Mus musculus: one gene and its partner. The protein of the gene in region 1 interacts with the protein of each later gene in a biochemical or structural test. Links are inferred from orthologs where the notes say so. Each region holds a gene or a part of one and is shown on either strand. Other genes may lie near its edges.

The links.
Region 2: the proteins of Nedd4l (region 1) and Ube2k form a complex in vitro, tested with the Homo sapiens proteins (2 studies listed by BioGRID). The link is inferred for Mus musculus from reciprocal best matches to the Homo sapiens genes NEDD4L and UBE2K.

The regions. Positions count from the first base shown.
Region 1 is NC_000084.6:65,211,140-65,216,498, forward strand, and holds part of Nedd4l (E3 ubiquitin-protein ligase NEDD4-like), read left to right. Parts: intron 1-1,644; coding exon 1,645-1,747; 3' UTR 1,748-5,359. UniProt on the Homo sapiens protein: E3 ubiquitin-protein ligase that mediates the polyubiquitination of lysine and cysteine residues on target proteins and is thereby implicated in the regulation of various signaling pathways including autophagy, innate immunity or DNA repair.
Region 2 is NC_000071.6:65,588,468-65,594,541, forward strand, and holds part of Ube2k (ubiquitin-conjugating enzyme E2 K), read left to right. Parts: intron 1-3,408; coding exon 3,409-3,508; intron 3,509-5,952; coding exon 5,953-6,074. UniProt on the Homo sapiens protein: Accepts ubiquitin from the E1 complex and catalyzes its covalent attachment to other proteins. In vitro, in the presence or in the absence of BRCA1-BARD1 E3 ubiquitin-protein ligase complex, catalyzes the synthesis of 'Lys-48'-linked polyubiquitin chains.

The sequences.
Region 1 (5,359 bases):
CTCTCTGGCTGGAGAGGGAGGAAGAAGTTCAAGGAATTGGCTTGAGAAGAGCCACACGACACCCAGGACAGGGACAGACGCCGCCTAGGAGATTTTATAGCAGCATTCAGCAAGCTCCTTCTAGTCCAAACTCAGTTGGGCTCCCGTGTTTCTGCACAGGCTTTGGCTTCCCCCTTGCTTTGTAGAAGGAGGAGGGTGTGGCCCTGCCTTTCTCAGCATGGTGAGCATGCTGAGTTGATGTGAGCATCCTTTCTCACCCACCGTCTCATTCTTTAAATGCTCTTGGGCTGGGTAAGAGAGAGCATTACTCAATAGGGGTGACTTGCCTTACTTGACATCTTTTGGTCACTTGCTCCCACCCCTTTTGCATATATCCTGATCCAACCCTCCCATGCTCCTGGGAGCATGTCTCTCCCTTTTGCACTTGAACAGAGTCAGAGAACTTAGATGACGTGCCCAAAGTCACAGATTGAAAAGGCAGGATTTGAATTTGCCCGGTAAACAAATAGCCTTGATTTCTTGCAGAAGGCATCCATCCATATTCAAAGACCTCATTCTTGAAGGGTGCGCTATATCCTCCCCACCCCAGCTGAAGCCTTGTTGTTAAGTAGCTTTTAAAGAATGCAGCGCTCTCTCTCTCTCTCTCTCTCTCTCTCTCTCTCTCTCTCTCTCTCTCTCTCTCTCTCTCTCTCTCCATATATATATGAACCTCACTGGTAGCCAACTGAATAGCAGAGGTGACTCAGTTTTCTGGAGCCCAGAATAGCCTGGGCTCTGTTCTAAGGTCTGCAACACTCCTAGGAATGGGGCCCCATGGAACCTTGGCCTTACCCTCTTGTGTAAGGATCTGCATATATTCATGACTGGGGAAAATATATATGTATATACATGTATATATGTGTATGTATGTATGTATGTGTGTGTATATATATACATATACATATATACACTCACACACACACATATATACATATACACTCACTCATGCTCAGAACACACATAACCTTAGCTGCTTCACACCTACAACAGTTGACTCAGGCATGATGGAGCAGAGATAGTATGAGTAGTAGTCTGTCCATCCTTCATTTCTGAGGTGTGCATGCCTCGTGCTCCATGAGTTTTCTTTATAAAAAAAAAGGGGGGGTGTTTTTTTTTTATTATAACTCTGTGTGTGTGTGTGTGTGTGTGTGTGTGTGTGTGTGTGTGTGTGTGTGGTGTGGTGTGTAGGAAGGGGTGCACATGCTACCAGTGTGGTCAGAAGACAACTCTGCAGTCAATTCTCCCTTTCACCCTCGAGTGGCTTCTGGACATTGAACCAAGACTGCAGGCTTGCCTGCTGGACCATCTTACCGGCCCACATGTTTAGTCTGTATATGTTGGTGCTTGTCTTGTCTTTGAATCTCCCTCCCAGCAGCAGCAAAGGAGTCATGGACAGTTGGAAGATTCCTTTCTTTTCCCTGTTGGTCGTATGGCCTGTTTGGCATAGGCACTGTCATAGCTAGAATTTGGCTTTGGATAATAAAATGCGACTGTCTTCTTAATTCCCTAGCTCAAACAGCCAATGCCTATTAGCCAAAACCAGGGAGTGCTGCTATGGCCAGGAGAATGGCGGCCCCTCACCTCTACTTTCCTTTCCTTTGGCAGCTTTAATCGCCTTGATTTACCTCCATATGAAACCTTTGAAGATTTACGGGAGAAACTTCTCATGGCTGTGGAAAACGCTCAAGGCTTCGAAGGTGTGGATTAAGGAAGGCTCCAGCGTCCGGGGCACTGCCCTTCCAGCAAGTTCCAAGCGCACTTTTGCATTTGCCGAGCAGACTTTTGCAGAGCCGGTGGCAGAAGCAGTGGCCTGGCCCGGCTCTGGAGCCCAGCTTGTCTGGGCCCTGCCCAAGTTCCGCCAGGGAACCCAGCCCCAGCTCAAGTGCCGCCCCCTCACCGCCAATTCTCAACTGGTTGCCGTGTACACTGATTACATTTCAGGAGGACGTGTTCTATTTATGTTGTGCCTCTGCAGGCAAAGCCCTTAATAAATATTTTGCATACTTTCTAATGACAATGAATGGAATTAATCACGCTACAGGTATAGTATTACAACTCATGTTTACTTTTTAAAATGATTTAGACTGATTTTCAGCTTTTATTTCATTACAATTAAAGATGTCTCATGTACTTGGAAAAGTGAGCATATTTTTTTTTGTATTTGAATTTCATATCAAGCTTAATGTCAGTGACATTTTTTTATTTTTGAAGTACTTTGACACTCCCAGCCTCTACTTTATTAGAATTGGAAGACGAATTTTTCTTCAAAAGCCTTCTACAGACAAATACTTTTGAAAGAACTTCAAATATAACATTAAGCATAATATTTTTTCCATACTCAGAATGAAAATAAACTGGATATTACCTTTTTTTTTTTTTTTGTACAAATTTAAATACTAGGTCCAGGCTGGAAGAATTGTAACATAGCATGATATCTTTGTGTTAACTTGAAAGGACTGACCCCATTGTCCCTTAGAAGTACTGACGTGTGCCATCACGCATTTAAGACAGGATTGGACTGTCATCTCGCATCAGAAACCGTTACAATTTCCTGTTGCTGTACAGCCTCTTCTGAACTCTCTTCTCTCTTTGGTGTTCATAGAGACATTTCCAATGGCATTGCTTGATTCAAAACCAAGGAAACCAGAACCATTGATCTTCTATCTCTGTGATTGCTAAGCAGTAGCCAAATAACCTTCCTTTGCTGTATCTGCGTCCCTTCTGAAGGCACTTTATGGAGGTCACATCTGGTTTTGTTTCCATTTTTTTTTTTTTTTTCACGAATATCACTCGTGGCGATTGCTCCTGCCTCCCTGCACAAGTCTATCCGGTGCGGTATCTATCAGGTGTGAACTTGGCTGCTAGCGTATGAACCCAGATGTGACGCAGAGCCTCTGCAGCGATCTTCTCCAACTGTTCTGTAATCTCTACTCAACAATAAGGTTTTAGTTACTGTATACACTTAACCAAGTTGTGTGACCTATGACCTACTTTGCATGCTCTGATACTGTGTGCCGCCCCCACCCCCACCCCCCAGGTCGTGTCTGTTGTGTGCTAGTTTAAAAGTGACCTAGAAAGCCCAGTAGGAACCACAGAGCTCAAGCTGTCTGGCTCAAGTGGTGGAAGAGTGAGGGAGTCTGCAGTTTGTAAGTCTCGTTCTGTTGTGTTCTGAGAAGATGCCTGAGGCAGTATGGGAGTTTCAACACCCCTGCTGTCCCTTTAACTTGTATTGTCCTAGACCCTGTCCTGGAAGTTAGAGGACGTGGGGTATTTTTTTTTTTGATCTCTTGCCAGTTGTGAATAAGACAGAAAGACTGTGTTCTCTGTTACGTAAGAAGGGTCTTTGGTAGAAGAAATTGCTCGTGTTTACACAGCTGTGGATGCCATGAAGAAGCCGTGGACATTCTTGGTGGGTGAAGCCCTAGACGATGGAATCCTACCAAGCTGAACGTCGGCTTCTATCCATATGCTATCGAGTAATTATAGAAGCAATTAACACTCACTGTTCTTGCCTCTGGTGAGATATTTTTCTCCTGTAGTTAACAGATATTGGGTGGGGGGAGGGGAGATACTTTTTTTTTAATAACCTTCCAAGTCCAGAACCATCTCTGTTATAGAGTGTGCCAAAGCCTGAGCTAAGCAGTGTATTTTAATCGAAGAAGAAACCAAAATCTGTTCTAAGAACTGGGGTTCTATACCTCTGTAGGCCCTTTATTGAACAGCATTATTCACTAGATGCAAAGGGAGCCAGCAAGATGGCTCAGTGAGTCTGGGTGCTTGTCACCTAGCCTGACATTCTGAGTTCAATCCCTGGGACCCGCCTGATAGGAGAGAACTGACTTCTACAAGTTGTCCTCTGACCCAATAGATTTACAAACAAACAAACAAAAGATTAAAAATAAGAAAAGAGGACTTAATTCTGATCTTTTCTAAGCCAAGAGCAGAAAAGACTTCTTAAATCCACTCCAGGGAATACTTGAAAGGCAAGTCATTGTGACTAACACTTCAGTTCATTGGCCCATGATCATTTCAGATTTTAACAGCTGTTACTGTTATTGGAGATCGGAGAGTTGGCCTGTTAGAAATTAAAAAATACAGTACAGCTTGCCGTTCCTCTGGTTTGTGAAGTTTCACTCGTTGCCTAAAATGCCCGATGCCTCGTCTCCAGACCTTGCTGCCCTTGCCTGGTCATCTTTGTACAGTAATTGTAAATGGCAGTGGAGACTATGGTGTTCCTGAGGGGCAATGGCAGGTCACTCTCCCGATCTCCCTACTACCAGCCAGGTGCTGTTTCCTTCTGAGCTGTGGAGATCACACCATCCTGTCGCCCTGCAAATAATTGTGGATCATTTACCTTGAGGCTGCAGAGTGGGTTCCAGGACTCTTACTTCACTGTGGAGGGACTTCGAGCATCAGGTGGCTCTCTCATGTTCCTGCCCCCTTTACTCCATGCCAAACCTGGGATTAGACAGCCTGCTGGCTCCAGAAAAAAGGTCTTGGTAGGCATTAGTCTATCCTAGGTGCCCCCAGTGCACTGTCCTTGTCTGTCTGAAGCACCCATCTCTACCTTCCCTGGCCAGTCCTCTGACGGTTCACAAGGGCCAGAGATATGGACTTTATTTTTGTTCCCAGGACTGATGTAGCTTAGTGGCAAGTGTCTCCCTGGCATGTACTTAGCTGTAGATTTGATCCTCATTGCTGGGACTGGGGACGGGGTGGATTAGAAACAAAAATTCTGTTTCTGAGGACTTTTAGCAAGAGACAGAAAATCCTGCCATTCTGGTTGGAAATTATATAAACCAACATGACAATAACTGTTTCCCCCCAAAAGGCTCAGGAGCTGACTTTTAGAAGTGAGGTTCAAAGTCTTTAACCACTTCTGAATCTCATATGGCCTGTTGCTCTTGGTCTTGCTAGACTCCCGTTTGTTCTAAGAGTCAGGCTTATGTATAGCAGCTTCTAGCTGGTTCTCTATTATCCTGGTAATATTGTTTCTCAGCTCTGAAATTTGAAAGTCTACGAAGAAAGCCTGGGTTCATCAGCTGCCCAGCCCCACCTCTCCACTGAGCGCTCTCTCTCTCTCCATCTCCCTCTCTCCCTCTTTCCCTCTCTCCCTCTCTTCCTCCCTCCCTCTCTCCCTCTCCCCCTCAACAGAAGGAAGGCTATCTGTTGTCATTCTCTTCCTGGCCAGTAGGAGTGCTGCTGTGCAGGGTCACTGCCTGCCCTGCTCCCTCTCTGGCTCCCAGAAGATCACATGCTACCTCTGTCTCATTTACAAATTGGGGTATATCCTAAGTCATGTCAAACTGCCGATTTCAGG
Region 2 (6,074 bases), on another chromosome or scaffold:
CTTGGGTCTCCAGGCTTGTCTCACAAGTGTTTTTAATCTACTTAACCATCTCATCGTCCTCAGAATGTGCTAAAAATATATTATAACTCTAGGTTGAAAATTAACTTTGAAGATCTTAGGAAATTGAACATCCAGGTCCAGACGAAAATTTGTGTTTTGTCAGCTAAGATGTAAAGCGATGTAGCTGTTTGAAAAGATTTTCTTTTAAGACAAAGTCTGTCTAAGCAAGATGGTTTTTAAACTGTAAACCAGTTTAAAATAGCCTCTGTCTCCCATGCTCTTGAACATTAATGTCTTGGACTACCAAACTGTGCTTAGATAGCTTTTTAAAGCACTTACTGTGTTTTAAATATTGATTCTGTGCGTGAGCTTATTGTTTTATTTTTTCCACTCTGTTTTTTAGTTTTTTGTTTTTGTTGTTTTTGTTTTTGTTTTTTCAAGACAGGGTTTCTCTGTGTAGCCCTGGCTGTCCTGGAACTCACTCTGTAGACCAGGCTGGCCTCAAACTCAGAAATCCGCCTGCCTCTGCCTCCTGAGTGCTGGGATTAAAGTTGTGTGCCACCACGCCCGTCTTTGGCGCCTGTCTTTGGTGGGAGGGGTCAGGTCTCAGTCAGGTCTCAGTCCTAGTCTTCTGTGTCTACCAAGTGCTAAGTGTGAAAGTTTATATCACTGTGCCCGGCAGTGCCAGCTGTTCTGGAAGCATCATGCCAGGATCCACAATTGCTCTAGCTTCTCTAGAAAACTACATTCATCAATTAGACATTTTCATTCTAATTGTTTTCTTCTCTGCCCTTATATTAGACAGAGCCTTCCTTTATATTAGGGTGAACTAGACCTCCTGCCTACATCTCCCAAGTGCTAGGATTATAGAGCTTGCTACCATGTCTGACTTTCCTAAGATCATTTTAGAGACTAGTGTATAGTGGGTATTTTAATATATAAAATATAGACCTACATTGTGTGTGAACAGCTCTTGCCAATTAGCATATAAAGAGCAGGGTTCTACAAATACTGTCTTTGGTTATTTTCATTGGCCCATTTGCTCAAACACTCCTAACTTTTTTTTTTAAAGACTTATTTATTTATTATTATATGTAAGTACACTATAGCTGTCTTCAGACACACCAGAAGAGGGAGTCAGATCTCATTACGGATGGTTGTGAGCCACCATGTGGTTGCTGGGATTTGAACTCGGGACCTTTGGAAGAGCAGTCGGAGCTCTTAACCACTGATCCATCTCTCCAGCCCCACTCCTAACTTCTTATAGAGCAGGTCTTAGGTGAGGTCCTCAAATGAGCATGAGTAATACAGTCCTGAAGTTCCTGCACTTGGGAGGAAGAGACAGGAGGGTCCTGTTTTTCATCTGTCTTAAGATGACATAGTAGACTCTGTCCCCAAAACCAAGTCCCTAGACCTACTCATGCCACTAGTAAGAGGAAGAATATTTACTGACATTTACTGCATTAACATATGCTGCATCCAGAAAGTTGAGTTCCTTCGTGTTCTCTCTCTCTCTCTCTCCCTCCCCCCCCTCTCACCCGCCCTCCTCCCTCCCTTCTTCCTTCCTTTTTTTCTTTTCTTTTCTTTTCTTTTCTTTTCTTTTCTTTTCTTTTCTTTTCTTTTCCTTTCCCTTTCCCTTTCCCTTTTCTTTTCTCTCTTCTCTTCTCTTCTCTTCTCTTCTCTTCTCTTCTCTTCTCTTCTCTTCTCTTCTCTTCTCTTCTCTTCTCTTCTCTTCTCTTCTCTTCTCTTCTCTTTTCTTTCTTCTTTTTGCCTGAACATCTAGGGTTGTCTCTTGTGTATTATTCAAGGAAACTGAAAATAGTCACTAGGAATTTTTGTTGTTTGATTTTAGGAATTAGGAACTCAACCAGACAAGGCTGGTTTAGAATAACCGTCTGTGTGGTTAAAAAGTGAACTTACTGTGGTTAGAGATAAAGCTATAGTGTAGTGTGCTTGACTTTACAAGGCCCTCACTTAGGATGACAGTCAAATTCCTCTAGAAGAGTTTGCTCTGAGATTTTCTTGAGACAGGATTTCTTTGTGTAGCCCTGTCTGTCCTGGAACTAGCTTTGGAGACCAGGCTGGTCTTGAACTTACAGAGATCCATGTTCCTCTGCCTTCCAGATGTCATGTGCCATCATTGCCCTGTCAACATTCTAAACATTTCAGGATTAGTGAAGCAAACTTTAAACAAATAATTATTTCATAAAGACAAGGGCTTTTGGTATAAATATAATTAGGATCATGACTTAAATTATGAGATTGAATTTTATTCCTAATTGTGTCTGTGTATTGGTGTGGGTATATAGTTTATGTGGGTTCCTCCAGAGGCCAGAAGCAGTAAGTCCCGTGGAGCGGCAGTTTTAGGTCATTTGCCAGCAAGCCAGCAATGGGGGCTGGGACGCAAACACAGGCCCTTTGCAAGAATAGTACACGCATATAATGTGAGCCATCTCTCCAACCTCAAGTGTAATATTTTAAATAGAAAATTGTCCTATTTTGGAATACTATGGATTGATCTTTATCTCCGTGTTTTACTTAGCATGCCATTAAAGAGTTGTAGTGACTTAACTGTGGTTGAGGGCATGGGCTGCTTGCTCTGCAGTGATCCCAGGGGAGTCCTTGGTACCCACTCCATCAGCAGAGGATGGACTGCTTTTATCCTCTCCAAGCACCTGTACTCAAGTTCACTTATGCAGGCATGATTTAGACATTTAAAAGTCTGTTTAAAATTCCAGTTTATTAGTATTGGTAACTTAAATTATCACTTTATAATGAAATATGGGTAAGTGGTTGGAGAACTTGCTTAGTGGTTAAGAGCATGTGTTCTAGCGGGACACTGGTGGCGCACGCCTTTAATCCCAGCACTTGGGAGGCAAAGGCAGGCGGATTTCTGAGTTCGAGGCCAGCCTGGTCTACAGAGTGAGTTCCAGGACAGCCAGGGATATACAGAGAAACTCTGTCTCAGAAAAAAAAAGAAAAAGAAAAAAGAAAAAGAAAGAGCGAGCCTGTGTTCTTAAAGAGTGCTTGACCTCAGTTCCCAGCATCCATACAGTGACTCAGGCATCTCGAACTCCAGTTTTGACCTTCATGGGCACCAGACATTTAGCACCATTCATACATGGAGACAGAAACTCACACATAATATCTAAGAAGAATGTTAATTAAGATAAAGCTTACAAAGTAAGTAAATGGAACAAGCAGAGAAAACAGCAAGGTGAGGGTGAGGTGACTTGAATAATCTTAGAAATTGACTCATTGGAAGAATAGAAAATTGGTAATTGGTACACGTTAGTTAACTATACAATTTTTAGTTCTAGCGTATTTTTGTTTCCATTCAGAAAACAGACTTTGCTTATGTCATTCAAAGTCCTTTTAACGGTGATATTTTCCTAATTTGAAATTTAGGGCAGCAGCAATGACTCTGCGCACGGTATTATTGTCATTGCAAGCGCTGTTGGCGGCTGCAGAACCAGATGACCCCCAAGATGCAGTAGTAGCGAATCAGGTAAGAAAGTAGCTTTTGAAAGACTTTCTTAGACCTGTGTGTGTAGTTTTAAATATTTCATATTAGCATATTAACATTCTATGTTGTACTAAATTTGGAAATGGTTTCTTTTAATAAAATAATTTTGTCACATATAATAAAATCATGTTACAGGCTAGAGAGATAGCTCAGTGGTTAAGACTGCTCTTAACTCTGAACTCTTCCAGAGGTCTTGAGTTCAATTCCCAGCAACCACATGGTGGCTCACAACCATCTATAATGGGACCTGAGGCCCTTTTCAGGGCTGTCTGAAGACAACTGCAGTGTACTCATATAAAATAAATAAATCTTTAAAAATAATAATAAAATCATGTCATAATAAACAAATAACAAATAAAGAATAAACAAATACCTGTTAGGAACTCCATTATCACTTATGTCCAGATATGTACATTGCAGAGGTTCTGTGTGACTTAAGTTCTCCTTGTACACTTAACTCTTTTGTGATATTCTTTGATTTCAAGAGTTTTTAAAATTATAGTCGTGTTTATGTCATTGTGTTCTGTTTTCCTTGCTTCCTCTTTAAGGAAGCATTTATCAGCCAACCTTCAGATTTTTAAAAATGTGCTTATAAAATGGGTTCCCTTTAGCTGAAGAGATGACTCAGCACTTATGGGCATTAGCTGCTCTTCCAAAGGACCCAGGTTCAGTTCTCTATCACCCACATTTTAGCTCATGACAGTCTGTAAGTTCAGTTTCTGGACACCTTCACACAGACGTACATGTAGGCAAAACATGAATGTACATCAAATAAAAATAATTTTTTAAAATGTTCTTTCTTTTTCATAATATTTATTTATTTATTTAAAGTATATGAGTACACTGTAGTTGACTTCAGACACTGGAGAAGAGGGCGTCAGATCACATTGCAGATGGTTGTGAGCCACCATGTGGTTGCTGAGAATTGAACTCAGCACCTCTAGAAAAGCAGTCAGTGCTCCTAACCACTGAGCCATCTCTACAGCCCACCATTGCTTAGAACTACAGCTTTTAATAGTTTGCACATATGTGCTATTAATATTTGGTAGCAGAAGTCTTTCTTGAAGTTTATCTTTGATTTTCCCACAAATTGAGATAAATTGAGACATAAAATAAAGGGTGACTTTTGAAAAAAAATTATTTATTTTATGTACATTGCTTCGATGTATGTCTCTGTGAGGGTGTCAGATCCTGGAGGTACAGGATCATGTGGATGCTGGCAATTGAACCCTGGTCCTGGAGTAGCAGCTGTCCTCTGGTTGCCAAGCCATCTCTTGGCTTCCATAGCTGATTTTTAACACCTAAAATAATGTTTGTGTTGTTCGTTCACAAAGTATTGCTTGAAATATATTAGGTAATCATAGTAATATGGAGTAGCCTTTTAGTTTGGTACTCCATAGGTAGATGTTAGTGGAGCTTTACATTTGAGCCAAGCCTGAACAATGAACAAGATAAAGATAGCTGGTTCTAGGCTAGCCAGGGCTACATATTGAGAACTTTTTTGAGAGAAAGCGATGTCGAAGGGAGAGGAACAATGAATTACCCAGTCCCTGCTCTGGGGCTAGAGAGCTGGGTGGCTCAGGTGAGGGGTAGTTCTTTGTTATCATTCTGAGAACAGAGATTAGGTCCTAGCACCCTCACTGGGCAGCTTCCCACTGTCCTCTGCTTGCCTTTCCTGAGCACTTCCACATGTGTGCATATACACAAGCATACATAAGTTTAAAAGTAGCACTTTGATAAATATTGAAATGAATTGACATCATTACTTTATACTCTGTCTTACAAGTATTTTTACAATGAATTTACCTCACCCTTTTCCGGTTTCATATGGCAAATCTTTATCTAGTAGGGCTCTTTTGTAGGTTTTTAAGTTGTCTTCAAAAGTAATGTAAGTTAGATTGTTTTGAGTGTTGGGTTTACTTTGATGACTATACAGTGCTGCATAGCTCTAAGGGCATCTGCTGCCTCAGCTTGAGGTCTGCCTAGTAGCACAATTGATTGTATATATCAGTCAGTGTTAAATTTATCAGCTAATGTTCATGTAACATTACATGCTACTGATTTTGTTGTGTAATTTTCTGTACAGTTATTAGAACATTTTTATAATGTTTATTTAATATTAGATGTTTGTTTAAAGAGTATTAACTCTGTTTTTTATTTTCACAAAGCTTCATTTCTTGAATGACATTTCTGCAATGGAAAAAAAATCATCTTTTATGTTTTGGCACATGGAGTGCTGGTAATTGAATTTCTGAACTTGAGCTTGTTACTAAGCTAATACGTACTACTAGTGATCTCTGCAGGCCAGCCCAAATGAGTTACATTCTAAATATAAATGTCTTTTCTTTGGAACAAGCAAGTCATAGTTGAGCAGCTATGGTAAATCTCACTGTACTGTCTTGTTATCTGCTTTTCCCTCCATATAGTACAAACAGAATCCTGAAATGTTCAAGCAGACAGCTCGACTTTGGGCACACGTGTACGCTGGAGCACCAGTTTCTAGTCCAGAATACACCAAAAAAATAGAAAACCTCTGTGCTATGGGTTT